Linked DNA regions of Caenorhabditis elegans. The protein of the gene in region 2 purifies or fractionates together with the protein of the main gene of each other region. This does not show direct contact. Each region holds a gene or a part of one and is shown on either strand. Other genes may lie near its edges.

Region 1 (7,913 bases), on a different chromosome or scaffold from region 2:
GACAAAAAAGCGAAGAAAATACAAATTTTGTGGAAATTTAACAAAAAAAAATTGGCAGATAATAGGCAAAAATTGAGGTTTTTAGGCCACGAAAAGTGTTTTTGGCTATTGAAAAAGCCTAATTTTAGTCAGAGCGATTTCTAGGCCAGCTATGTAATTTTCAGGTCATCTTAGAATTTTCTAGGCCACTTTAGAATCTCCTAGGCCACCGTTGAGTTTTCTTGACCACTTTAGAAATTTCTAGGTCGCTTTAGAATTTCCTAGGCCACCATGAACATTTTTTAGGCCACCTGGCTAATTTTGTCCATTTTTCCCCTTTTTTTGCCGATTTTTTTTTCCAAAAAATAGTGAATTAATCTGTAGAATAAGGCGAGGGAGAACTTGAGGAAGGGCTATTTGAAAAATTTACAGGTTTTGATTCATCATCATCACTTGAGGTATTCTTCGATTTTGAGGAATCGTCTGAATGTGGAGAAGATGGAGATTTTGTTGAATTTTGTGATAAAAATGATGGAAAACCTAATGGTGGAAGGAATGGAAGAGATCCAGCTGCTGATGGAGATGTGCTGAAAAATATTTGGAAAAATTTGAAAAAAAAACCTTAAATAATTTATTTAGCTAAAATTTTTTCACAATTTTATTTTGGTTTTTACGAAAAAAAAAGTTCCGATTCCAAACATTTCCAAAAATTGTGAAGAAACTTCAATATTGCCAATCTTCCAACTCACCTTGATCCATTATTCCCATAAGCTCCATTTCCGGGACCCGTGGCTCCGAATTGTGAGGCGGCAGCTGTTTTCATCCACATTTCATATGCAAATGGGTTTAACATGTAGGCAGCCATTTGTGGAGGAAAGGGCCACGCGAGACCACCGACTCGTTGCCGTTTATCTTTCATTCGACGATTTTGGAACCATACCTGCAAGAAATATTTCAGAAAATTCGACTAAAATCGAGAGTCACTTGCGAGTAATGGCCACTTGGCCACTTTCCACAAGTTTATTTGAAGTAGGGCAAATGAGAGTTTTCTAGGCCATCAGTAAGTTTACTAGGCTACCTAAAAATTTTTTGGAAAGTTCACAAAAATTCAAAATTTTGAGTCATGTCGGAAATGCATCGAGAAAAATTCCTGGGTTATGTCAAAGGTTCCTCGACCACCGTTTAATTTTCTAGTTCATAAATTATAGTTCCTAGGCCACCAGAAAATTTCCTAGGCCATCTGAACAATTTCTAAGACATCTGGAGATTTTCTGAGTTTTTAAAGTTTCCTGGATAATCTTAGGAAGTTTTAGATTATTTTGAAAAACGCTAGGTCATCTCAGAAAATTCTAGGCCAACAATTTTATTTCTAGGACACTGGAAAAAACTAGGCCATGTAATTTTCTAGGATTTCCTTTCATCTCTTCCCCCGCCCAGAATAAGCCTAACCCTAAGCCTAATAACCCTAAATAGCGTCAGTGGGGGAGCGTTAGCTCCAAGTCTAAGACTAAGGCTGAGCCTAAGCCTAAGCCTTAGACTAAGACTAAGCCTAAGCCTTAGCCTAAGCCTAAGCCTAAGTCTAAACCTAAGCCTAAGCCTAAGCCCAAGCCTAAGCCGAAGCCTAACTCATAAATTTCTAACCCTTCTCCTTCTATACTAATTCCCCCGAAAATCATATTGTAACTAGTTGAAGAGGCTACGAAGTTCTAAAAGTATGCCAGTGGGAATAAAAGGCGCGATACTCCGAAATCACTCATAGGCCCTCCGTTTTCTCCTGTCCTCTCAGCTTTTTCATTTTTCAAGGGAGATTGATATGCAGAAGAAGCAGCGGGTCCCGCGTGTATGTCATGGGAAATGATTTGGATTTGACGATGACGGCGGCAGGGGGACGGGGGTACGGTAGCCTATTATGATGCGGAAATCTGCTTCTAACTTTGTCAGTTTTGTAGCTATAAAAATGTTTTTAACTGATAAAATGTAGAAAATTGAATTTTGAATAATTTGGTAGTTGATAATTTTTTGATAGCTATGATATTTTCAGAGATACGAACGTCCAAAATGTGTTCAAACATGTGAGTGGCCTAGAATTCTCAATTGTGCTCTAGAAAGCTTAACGTAGTCTTAGAATTTTAATAGTGGCCTAGAATCCTTACTGATGACCTAGAAAACTTAGTTCTAGTTTTAAAGCTTCAGCCGTGGCCTAGAATCTTCAGTGGTAGCCTAGAATTCTCAATAGTTGTCTAGAATCCTTAGCGATGGCTTTTTGATGATCTAGAAATTTTAAAATTGGCCTACAATCAACTCTGATTACAAAGAATCCTCAGTGATGGCCTAAAGAGATCGTGGTAGCCTGGAATTCTTAGTGGTGGCCTAGACTTGTCAGTAATAGCTAAAACCGTCTGTAGTGACTTGGTCTGAAATATTATAGGTCGCCCAAAGAGCTATGATGTAGCCTAGAGCCATTTAATACTCTAGGAATTTTCATCCAATTTTTCTCTATTTTCAACTTACCTTAATTGTACCTTCTGGAAGATTCAACTCTGCCGCCAACTCGCCACGTGTCTTCCTGCTAACATAGTTTTCCTTTGCGAATTCCCTCTCAAGCCTCCCAATCTGTTCTCGTGAAAAAGCCGTTCGATACCTCCGCATTTGACCGTCGTCTCGGTTATCTGAAATTATTATAAATCAGCATTTCATCAACAGCTTCCCGACGACAAAAACACGGAGCAAATTATGTTTTTCGTCATACAGAATTAAATAATTAAAAGTGCTTTAAAATTCATCAATAAACGGCACAAATTGACTCTTCTTGTTTTTCATTATTAGCATCCCGGCGATGCGGAATTAATACATGCATTTCTTGATGAAAAACATAATTTCCACCCATTATCCTAGTGAGAGGGATTATGAGAGGAGATGGATGGCCGAGTTTTGGAATTCTAGGCCATGAGAAGGTGAAGGAGTATACTTTTGTGGATCGCTCATATGACTGGAGTATCCAGGTGATTCTAGGTTATGGATAGGGTGTTGTGGATCCCTCGAAGGAATATGGCCCATTCAAAAGGTTCTAGACCGTTAGGGAAGACTGTTGTTAACCCTTCAGATTTTGAGGGGAAGGAGGGGTTTGTGAATTCTAGGCCATGTGTAAGGAAGGGTGATCTGGACAGTTCTAAAAAGTGGTGGCAGAATTAGAAGTTTCTAGGTGACCAGGTCAAGCTTACAATATGCCGATCTAAAGGAAAATGGCTCAGATTGAGCTTTCTTGGTCATGTGGAACTAAGAGTGTTGTGGACACCATAACGGAACTTGGCCGGGTTTGAGAATTCTATGCTATTAGTATATGATGGTGCTTTGGGCCCTATAGATGTAGTTAGATTAGGTTGATTAGGCAAAGCAGAAACTCCCGGCTTCCTATACTTATCAGCGGTATAGTTGTCTCCTGACCAAAAGACTAGCTAGTCTAAAAGCCCACATGACATAAGCCTGGCCGAGCTTGCAATCCCTAGGCCAGATGTACCCTTCCCACTTTCACCCGTGTACCTGCCCGGCCGGAACATTGTGTCCTAATTAAATAATTGGTTCACTCCCCTTTTTACGACTAAGGGTGTCTATGAACTGATTCGACACGCAACACCAATTACATGACACATGGCAACATTAGGGCGATTGACTTCGGGGGAGAGGGGGAAGAGGTTAAGCACATCAGAGCATGTTTCCCAGTGTGTCTATCAGTGATCATATAACCCATTCGCAACACTAACATAGATAATTGACCACTAAACGACGCGTCTACAGTACCCCGAGAGGGGGGGGGGGGCAGGTGTAAAACAAAAAGAGAGAACATTTACGATATAATAGCCGACACCAAACAATCCTCATTCACACTCAGTGATTGTGTCGAAACCGCAACATTTACACATCGTTTATGATGACAGGGAGCTGCGTGGCCTAGGAAAAAGTCTGGCCTGGAAAGCAAAAATTCGGCCACGCCATGTTCTAGGAGATATGAAGCCTATTGAAATTGTATTTTCTAGGCCACAAAGAGAACTTTCAGGGAGGAGCACATGGAACTATATTAGCCCTTTGAAAGTTCATGGCCGTGGTTGAGTTTTCTAGGCCATCAAGAAAAGGGAAGCTAGTACAGCTTTGTTGAAAAAGCATTGGCGGGGATTTCAAAAGATCTCACTCAGTAAAAGTTGTGACGGGAAAATTCAAATTTTCAGAGTAGAAACTTTGGCGGAGAAATTTTTGGCGGGGAATTTGAATTTAAAAAAAACCAAACTGTAAAAACTATCAAAGTTAGAATGTGGAAATTTGTTTATACTTTTGGCCTAAAAAAGGCAACCTCAGTCACTTCTCGGAGGTAACTGTAATCTTTCACGCGTTGGTTCTAGCCCGTGGCCTAGAAAAAACTCGGCCACTGCCTACCCGCTCCACTACTCCCACGTGTCATAATAGGTGCTCATTGTCCATTTGCTCGTGTCAACCTCATCCATCCGCTCACCCCCCTCCACCTCAATCAATCTCCCTCAATTTGTCACCCCCACCCAAATACGGGACTAAATTAGTGTTCAGCGAGGAGATGAAGCTAGGGGAAGAAGTATTCTTGAATAATTATGTCCCTTCTCATCTCGGGCACACACACACCCATTTTTCTTACCATACGGATGATGACGTCCGGCGGCTGCTGCTGCTGCCGCTGCGGCCACCACACCCATCGGGTCATGATGCTGCTGCTCAAATGGAGGGGAAAATGAGGAAGCTCGAGATGCGGCGACCATCTCCACAAGTGATGGGACCTGGAAATGAGAATTCGAATTACGAGATGTTTTATGTGTTCGGATGGGGGGGGGGGGTGTGTCCTAGGTGATGGGGCTAAAGTAGATTTTATGCTCAACGTGGCCTAGGGACCCAAAACTAGGCCATAACAGTTTTGGGGTGTCAGGGAGGCTTTACTTAGAAACTAAGAGTTGCATCATCCTGGAGCTGTCCGGGGGTCTTCAGAGTTCGGCTAAAAGACTTTAGGGTGTCGAAAAAGTTTCAATGATATATTTTTTCAAATTTTTCTAGATTAAAAGAGGTAAAAACAACTTTTTTTATGTAAACAGTTTTTGATCTGAAAATAAAATCGACATTGTTTTACTAGACATAATTATTTTTCAACTACAATTGGAATTAATTTGAATACTAGAAATAACTGAAGTTTGGCTGTCAAAATAGATAATTTTCGGTAATTTCAACTTTTCAAAAAACGATTTTAATTTTTTTTTCTGTATTTCTTAAATCAAAATTTCAAAGTATTAATAAAAAAGAAAATAGTTTAAAGAATAATTTAAAAACTTCTAGCAAAACAGATTTTAAAAAATTAGAATTTAAATGTTTCAATAATTCAAATAACTATGCAACTATGCATTATAGCTGAGATTATGCAATATGACACTTTTTGATTATGCAACCTAATTAAATTGTCCATAACTCTGCAACTAATGCAGTTATCAAAAAGTTGACAACTAACAAATTATAGCTTAAAACATAATGAACAAATTGTTTGTTGAAAATTTTTTGCTTGCATTATTACAAACCAAGTTATAACCACTTTTAAACACTTTAAAAAAATTATCTTTTAAGCTTCAAACGCCCGATAATCTTGAAAATTGTGAAACTGAATGAAACTTTTACAGTTATCAAATAAAATTTTAGCAACATAAATCTTCTAAACTTTTATGATTAGATTAATAATTTTTCATTAAATTTTATTGCATGAAATTATATAATTTTTTATTTCTACCTATTACAGTTATCAAAAAAGTTGAAAAAATCCCTAAAAAACTACAAAAATTTAGAAACTTTAATTTTAATGGATCTTTGACAACAAGAAGTTTACAGACATTAAATAACAGTTCTACAAAAGTAAAAAACATGGTTCTCAAAACAAAATACAAAACAAAAAAATCTCACCTTATTAACCCCAATAAGGGACTCAATATCAAATGATTGCATGCTAATTTTTAAAATTTTTGATAGTTTTTTTTTCAAATAAAAGAACTTGAGTACTAAAACTCAAAGATAAAGGAAACAATAGAATAAGGCGCTGGGCGGGGCTCAACCTCTCGGTGACTACGGTGGATTTGGCCACGCCCCACGCTCAGATGAGAAGGGCGGCCAATAGAAGAGGGGAAGGAGTGCTGGAATAGAAAGAGACTTTAGATAATAATCTTTTTCCATGACGTTTGAAATTTAAAATACGGCAGATTTGGCATTTTTTTGGAAATTTAATATTAAGAGAAAATGTATTGCTTTTCAAAAACATCAGGTCATTTTTTTTTTCAAGTAAAACTTCAAAAAACCAATTAGTGGCCGAATTTTTGAGTTTTCCAGGCCACGTAACCAAGTAAAGGTTCTAGGGCCCTTACAATGAAGAATATTACACAATGATTAAAATTATTTTGCAGACAGTCTAATTTTTTTTCTAGACCATGTTTCCTAATACCCACGAGGTACCTGCGTGAAAGTTCCCCAATAACGGTTCTCAAAAAACTTCAGTATTCTAGGCCACGTGATCAAGCTAAAGTTCCCGGCCGTTACGATGAAATTCAAAATGAAAATTTTCGAAAATTTCACGGAGGTGGCCGAGGGTTCAAATTTTTTAGGCCACAAAGCAACTGGAGCCCCTTAGCTCATTCAATGTTTCATATTAATATACAAATTATTTTCTCTTTTACGGTGGCCTAATTTTGATTTTTCTAGGCCATGTGCTTAGCTAGGTGAAACGGATGAAAAAACTTATGTAAGTATTTTCAACATAAAAATTCAACATTCAAATTGACAGGTGGCCTAACTTGAATTTTCTAGGCCACTTTTGCCGAGCTCGGCAAATTCGGCAAATCTCTTTTTTCAATATTTGCCGAGCACGGCAAATTCGGCAAATTCGGCAAATTCGCCGTGCTTAACAAACTCGGAAAAATTTGATATTTTTTTATATTTTTTGGAGCACCAAAACTACTGAATTCTTAACACACATCTGGTTTCTGAATAAGTTCCGCGTAGAATGTCTGTTTAAGCATCAAAATAGCTCAATTTTGTATCATTTTACTAAATTTTTGGCTAAAAAATCAATAGTTTTAGTCAAAATTGTACTGTCAAATTTTTGACGTGTGCGGCAAATTTCGAAATTTGCCGAGCTTGGCAAATTCGGCAAATCTACTTTTTTGAAATTTGCCGAGCTCGGCAAACGGCAAATTCGGCAAATTTGCCGCACACCCCTGGTATGTATGATCTCACCGTTCTAATAGAAATTCAATTTTGCGAAATCAGAGTTTTGAAGTTTCTTGGGATTCCCATAACCTTTTTTTCAAAACTTTAAAAGCCATCTACACAATGGCCTAGTTTTTCTTAATTAGGCCACAAAGTCAGATGGAAACAAAAAAGTGTTCCTCCCCATCAAAAAGTGATGAAAGCCTCATCAAAAGTCATTAAGTGACATGACTAAGCAGCTCTTTTATTGTCATTGCATGTATCTCCCCTAAATGTTGCATCGGGAGAGAGAGAATGAATCATTCATCAGGCATTCCGCTCCCCCTTCTCTCTATTTCATTACTTTTTGGTATTGATACACTTGAATACATGTGGAAGACAATACAAAATGGTTTAATGTTTACTCTATTTGTAGGGCATGTCCCTTCAAAAGTTGAGTATAGGCAGTGTGCCTGAGAACACTGGAACTTCCGAACCAGGGGTGGGCCGCGGTTGCCGAAAATTTTAAAATTCGGCAATTTTGAAATTCCGACATTTTTTGTCCGATGGAGCGCGCTTTCATTGTTTTTTTTTCACTTTATCTCTTCATCAAGTTTTCCATCGCGCTCCATCTACTCAGAAAAGAGAAAAGACTTTAAAATCTAAAAACGTTCACTATTCTCAGTACTCACAATTGCAGT
Region 2 (4,647 bases):
TTAATGGCAATAAGGAAGATTTAATCATATAAACATAAAAATTTTAAAGATTAATAATATTTATATGAAAGGAAAAATTCAACAAAAACTGTTTTAAATAGAAGAAAAAGTCAAATATTGATTTTTTGCGAATAAAAAATAAAATTGAAAATAAACAACGACACTCCGATATCCCGTCTTCGAAAGAGCGCGAAATTTGAATTGAGGGTTTAATAAATATAATTCTTTGCAACGGCTGAAATCTTGTTTCTTAACGAGACAGAAGAAGAAGTAATGAATAGATCATTGCCATCACATCTTCATTTCCATTCAAATATTGGAGTTTAATCTTTAAATTGATAAAAGCCGTTCGGATAACATACGAGTAGAAAATGTTCATAGTGAAACAGCAGCACGTTGATCATGCAAATTCATAAGGAAATCAGGAAGTTTTACGAGTCTAAGAAATAGGCGAATGTTTTGTGTTGTGTATTGAGCGTTAGACAAGGAGATTTACGTAGATAGAATATTTTACTTTTAACGTAGATAGAATATTTATTATGAACATACGAGAAGGAATGTGAATAAAGGCTCAATACTCGAGAAATCGAAGAAAAAGAAATTGAGATGCAACATGGAATTTAATAACGATCTCCGTGATGGCGTGAGCGATCTCTTGAATAATCCCGCTTTCTTCTTCTATAGTCACGACGATGGTGATGCTCTGAACGTCTGGGGGTCCACTCATCTGTCGAGGGGCTTCGGCGACCACGCTGTGAAATTTACAGATAGATTTAGTTGGTTTTTTCGCATGATCGAGGAATAAACTAGGTCATTTTGCAAATTACTCACCCTCTGGTTTCTCAATGGCGATTTCGGTGTATGTTCCCTGTTACGTGGCTGGTGTCCTGCTCCACGTCCCCGTTGATTAGATGGAGACATCGGCGATCGCCTTGAGGGGCCCTCCTCCCGCTGCTCGGAGACGTCTGAAATGTTTGAAATCGAAACGATGGTCTGGGACCGCTTTGCTTCCGGAGAGATGAGGTTCCGGAATCAGCTTGTCCACAGCTAGAGTTGACAATGGTGCACCGAAAGACGAAGAACTCGCCCTATTCCCAAAAAAGTTCCCAAAAGCTGGCTGGGCCAAGCGAGGAGTGGAAGGACCTGTAAAGTCGAAGCTGCCTTCTCCAGATCTTTCCTCGACGGCTGGGATTGATGACCCGGAGACCGCACGATCGGAGAGGAATCCTAGACGTGCTGGTGCAGATGAATCTTCTGGCGCCTTTCCACGTGAGCTGGTAGGAACAACATTCTCTAACCGTGACATAGTCACAGTCTTGATGAACTGAACATCAGGAGATGAGGAGCCATCTCTCTGAGGCCCTCTGGAGTCTTTTGGGAGCTGGCGTACTTCGCAAAAACCCATATTTGGTGCAGGGCTCCTTGTAGTAACCTCTTCTTTAATTGGAAGAGCTGATGTGGAAGAACTGTTGAGCTCTACATCGATTTCCGGAACCTGGTGGCTGTAGGATGTTTTCTTCCTCGAGATCTGATTGAAACACGGAAGATCATCATAAGCAGGAGTTCCTCCAGTCCTCCGAGTGTTGTGGGCATAATTGGAGGAAGTCCTATGCTTATGGTATTCTTCCTTCGATATAACCATAAGAAATACGTTCAGCGACCTATGACGATCCACCGATTTATCTCTTCCTATCGGAGGAAGTACTTCCATTTCCGCGGTCTTCGAGGTGCACAGGTCTCCATTGGTGACGCTGTGATGGTTGTAGAGTTGGCTCGGATCCGTGAGATCCATGCAGCACTTCTTGCAACGGTAGAGGTAAGTCCTCCTGAAATTAAAATTATGTAATATTACAATGTAACATGGTGGTATAGAAAATGAACCAAAATCAACGTTATTTTTCTCAAACTTGCAAGAAATGGCTGAATCACATTTGAATTCCCGCGCAATTGAATGCACTAGTTTCAACATTTTTGTGTTTTCCGGCTAATATTTTCTTGTCCCTTCAGATAGTTGTCTAGTCCGTCAAACACTCTTCCATTTTTGCATTTTATGAAAAACTTACGTGTGAGTGCCCATGTGTGTGATGCAGTCAGCAAGGGTCCCCACGAACCCACATTCTCTTCCCCTCACGTCCATGGGGTACTTGCAGTACATGTGCATTTTGTTGGGGGCATAGGACGGCTCCGAGCTGAAATATAGAATAGTGGGAATACTATTTTTTTTCCTTAGTTTGGTGAGTTTCGAGTTGAACAACTTTGCTGCGAGACTCAGGAAAAAAACGAGAGAAAAGCTGACACAATTCATTTGTAATATTCCCCACCTAAATGAAAAGCACTTTTTCCGAAGTTTGTTAGGGGTTCAGCAAACATCTACCTTAGATCGGGTGACAACAGTCGAACGTGATATCTCACTATAATAGTACCGTAGTTAATGGGAAGGGTACGGTATGTTACATTAAAATTACTCATGGATACGGTGCGGTAAAATGGGTTAATGTAGTAAATGGTATGGTAGGTTAAGTTAGATTTATTTACGGTATGGTACAGGGGTGTGCGGCAAGTTCGGCAAATTCGCCGCACCCCCCTGGTATGGTGCTAGGGTGCACTACAGATTACGGTTTTAAGAAGTACTGTAGGTTAAGATACCTTTCTATAGGGGAGGCCGGTTACGAGTACGGTAGGCTACGGTTTGATACCATAGGCTAGGATACTATACATACTGTAGGGTAATATTGGCTACGGTACTTCCAGGTACTATGTATATGTGATTGTGAAATATTTCAAGATACTATGGTACTGCAGGATATATAGGCTACGGAACAATAAGTAATAATACAATTTTTATAAAACTTACATCATTCTTCTAGCCTCCTTATTCATGTGGTCGCCAGCTCGCATCATTTTAACATTAGATTGAAGTTGTGGTCTCGATGAACTGAAATTTAATTTCAACAGGTAAAACTTTCAAAAATGTATTCGGTGACTCTTTCCGCGAAAGGGGAGGAGCTTCAGAGGAAAAATGAATCAGAAATGCCCTTTAGTGGAGTGAGAAGTGAATATAACCTGAGAAAGAGCACTAACATTTTAATTTTCTATAATCGCCGAAAAATCGGATGCTTCGAAATTTTTAATATTTTTAAAAATAATTTTTAGTAAATCAAAAACCTATTGAAGTAATTTTTAGAAATCTCAAATGTATTTTGGATATTTTAATCTTTGAAATACAAACAATTTAGATTTTTAGATTTTTTTGGGTAACATCAAAATCAAACAAATTGAAAAGTTTTACTACGAAAATTTCAACTGTAATATATATTTGGAAATTTCGGAAAATCGGCTAATTAGAGAAAAAATGAAAGAAAGGATTACTAGAAACACTAGAAAAACACCAGGAACATATACTTGAAACGTTCAAATGTAGGATTATTGTTTTGAAAAATGATGTTTTAAGTGCAAAACCAATAGGACAAATGGTCTGGAAAGAAAAAATGGTCTGGAGAACAAATGGTCTGGAGAGTTCTTACTAATTTTATTTTTAAAAATACAAGCTGTTTTGTATCTAAAAATTCAAGAAAAAGGAATTGCTCAAGGCCTAAAAATATATATAATTTATCAAATAACAAGGCAGTGTGTAGTGAAACGAAACAGAGAAATAGAGGGTTAGACTGTTTGGAGAAAGAAGCCGGCGTCTCACGCCACACCTCCTCCTTGGCAGAGAAACAAAAAGAATAAGAGAAAAGGAAGGAAGGAGGAGGTATAAGGTTATGTAAACAATCAAACATTTGAATTTTATTTCTTCAACTGTTTTGATAAGAGTGATGGAAGAGAAATATTTATAGGATAAGAATTGATGTGTCAAGCATGAGATTTTTTGGTAAATTTTTATTTTGAAGTATTTTTAGGAAAGACATATTTCTTATTCTCTTTATTATGCCTACTTACTAGATACAGTATTAAAGACTGCAATACTAGCTCTCGACCGAGTTTTATCGGACTTTTCTAATAGTAATAAGTGAAAAAAAAATGTAAACGAGTTCAGGACAGGCTGGGGATTGATAACATTTATTAGATAAAATATGACAGCTCAATAGTTTTTAATAGTAGCTACTAGGGTAAGTGGAAGGAGATAAGATGAGAAATTAATAATTTCAGTTTGTCTTGTTTCCGACTACGAGCACCATCAATTTCAATAACAAACAACAGAACAGAATAATATGCTTCTTTACTGTAATATAGGAACTGTCCAAGTTGTATCCATCGACTTCTCGGCAAGAGTTTGGAGGGTGCGAAACTGATCGACGAAATACGGTAGTTATTGTTCCATTTACGCTGTAATGTGTGGATCTATTTGATTCCCTAGTAAATCTCATTGATCTTTTCGATTTTGAATACATCCAGGTCGTTTTGTAATATTATCAAATGTACAATTAGATAGCCTTCAAGCCAATTCATCAGCTCCTTACAAGCAAATAGTGCTACATCAACTCATGTGTAACGGTCCTACATATTGATTGTTACACATATTTTCATCATTGTGTAATTTCATCAAGTGCCTTTTGTATAAATACAGCAAGAAACTTGTATGATAATCCGGAATGTGCTGCTGGTTGATAATTAATATTACTTTTAAAAAACGTTTTAGAAATA

What was found. Proteins that work in one complex are often made in the same cells at the same time.
Region 1: the proteins of C27A12.4 (region 2) and vab-7 fractionate together in Caenorhabditis elegans (co-fractionation; one large-scale study listed by BioGRID). This does not show direct contact.

The regions. Positions count from the first base shown.
Region 1 is NC_003281.10:10,918,452-10,926,364, reverse strand, and holds vab-7 (Homeobox protein vab-7), read right to left. Parts: upstream 6,022-7,913; 5' UTR 5,980-6,021; coding exon 5,938-5,979; intron 4,779-5,937; coding exon 4,640-4,778; intron 2,649-4,639; coding exon 2,491-2,648; intron 920-2,490; coding exon 729-919; intron 567-728; coding exon 353-566; 3' UTR 324-352; downstream 1-323. UniProt on the Caenorhabditis elegans protein: Transcription factor. Involved in motor neuron fate determination and maintenance, acting as a transcriptional repressor to counteract gene activation by transcription factor unc-3 in a subset of motor neurons.
Region 2 is NC_003279.8:6,033,742-6,038,388, reverse strand, and holds C27A12.4 (C2H2-type domain-containing protein), read right to left. Parts: upstream 2,942-4,647; 5' UTR 2,902-2,941; coding exon 2,855-2,901; intron 2,190-2,854; coding exon 2,064-2,189; intron 1,827-2,063; coding exon 908-1,826; 3' UTR 832-907; intron 753-831; 3' UTR 505-752; downstream 1-504.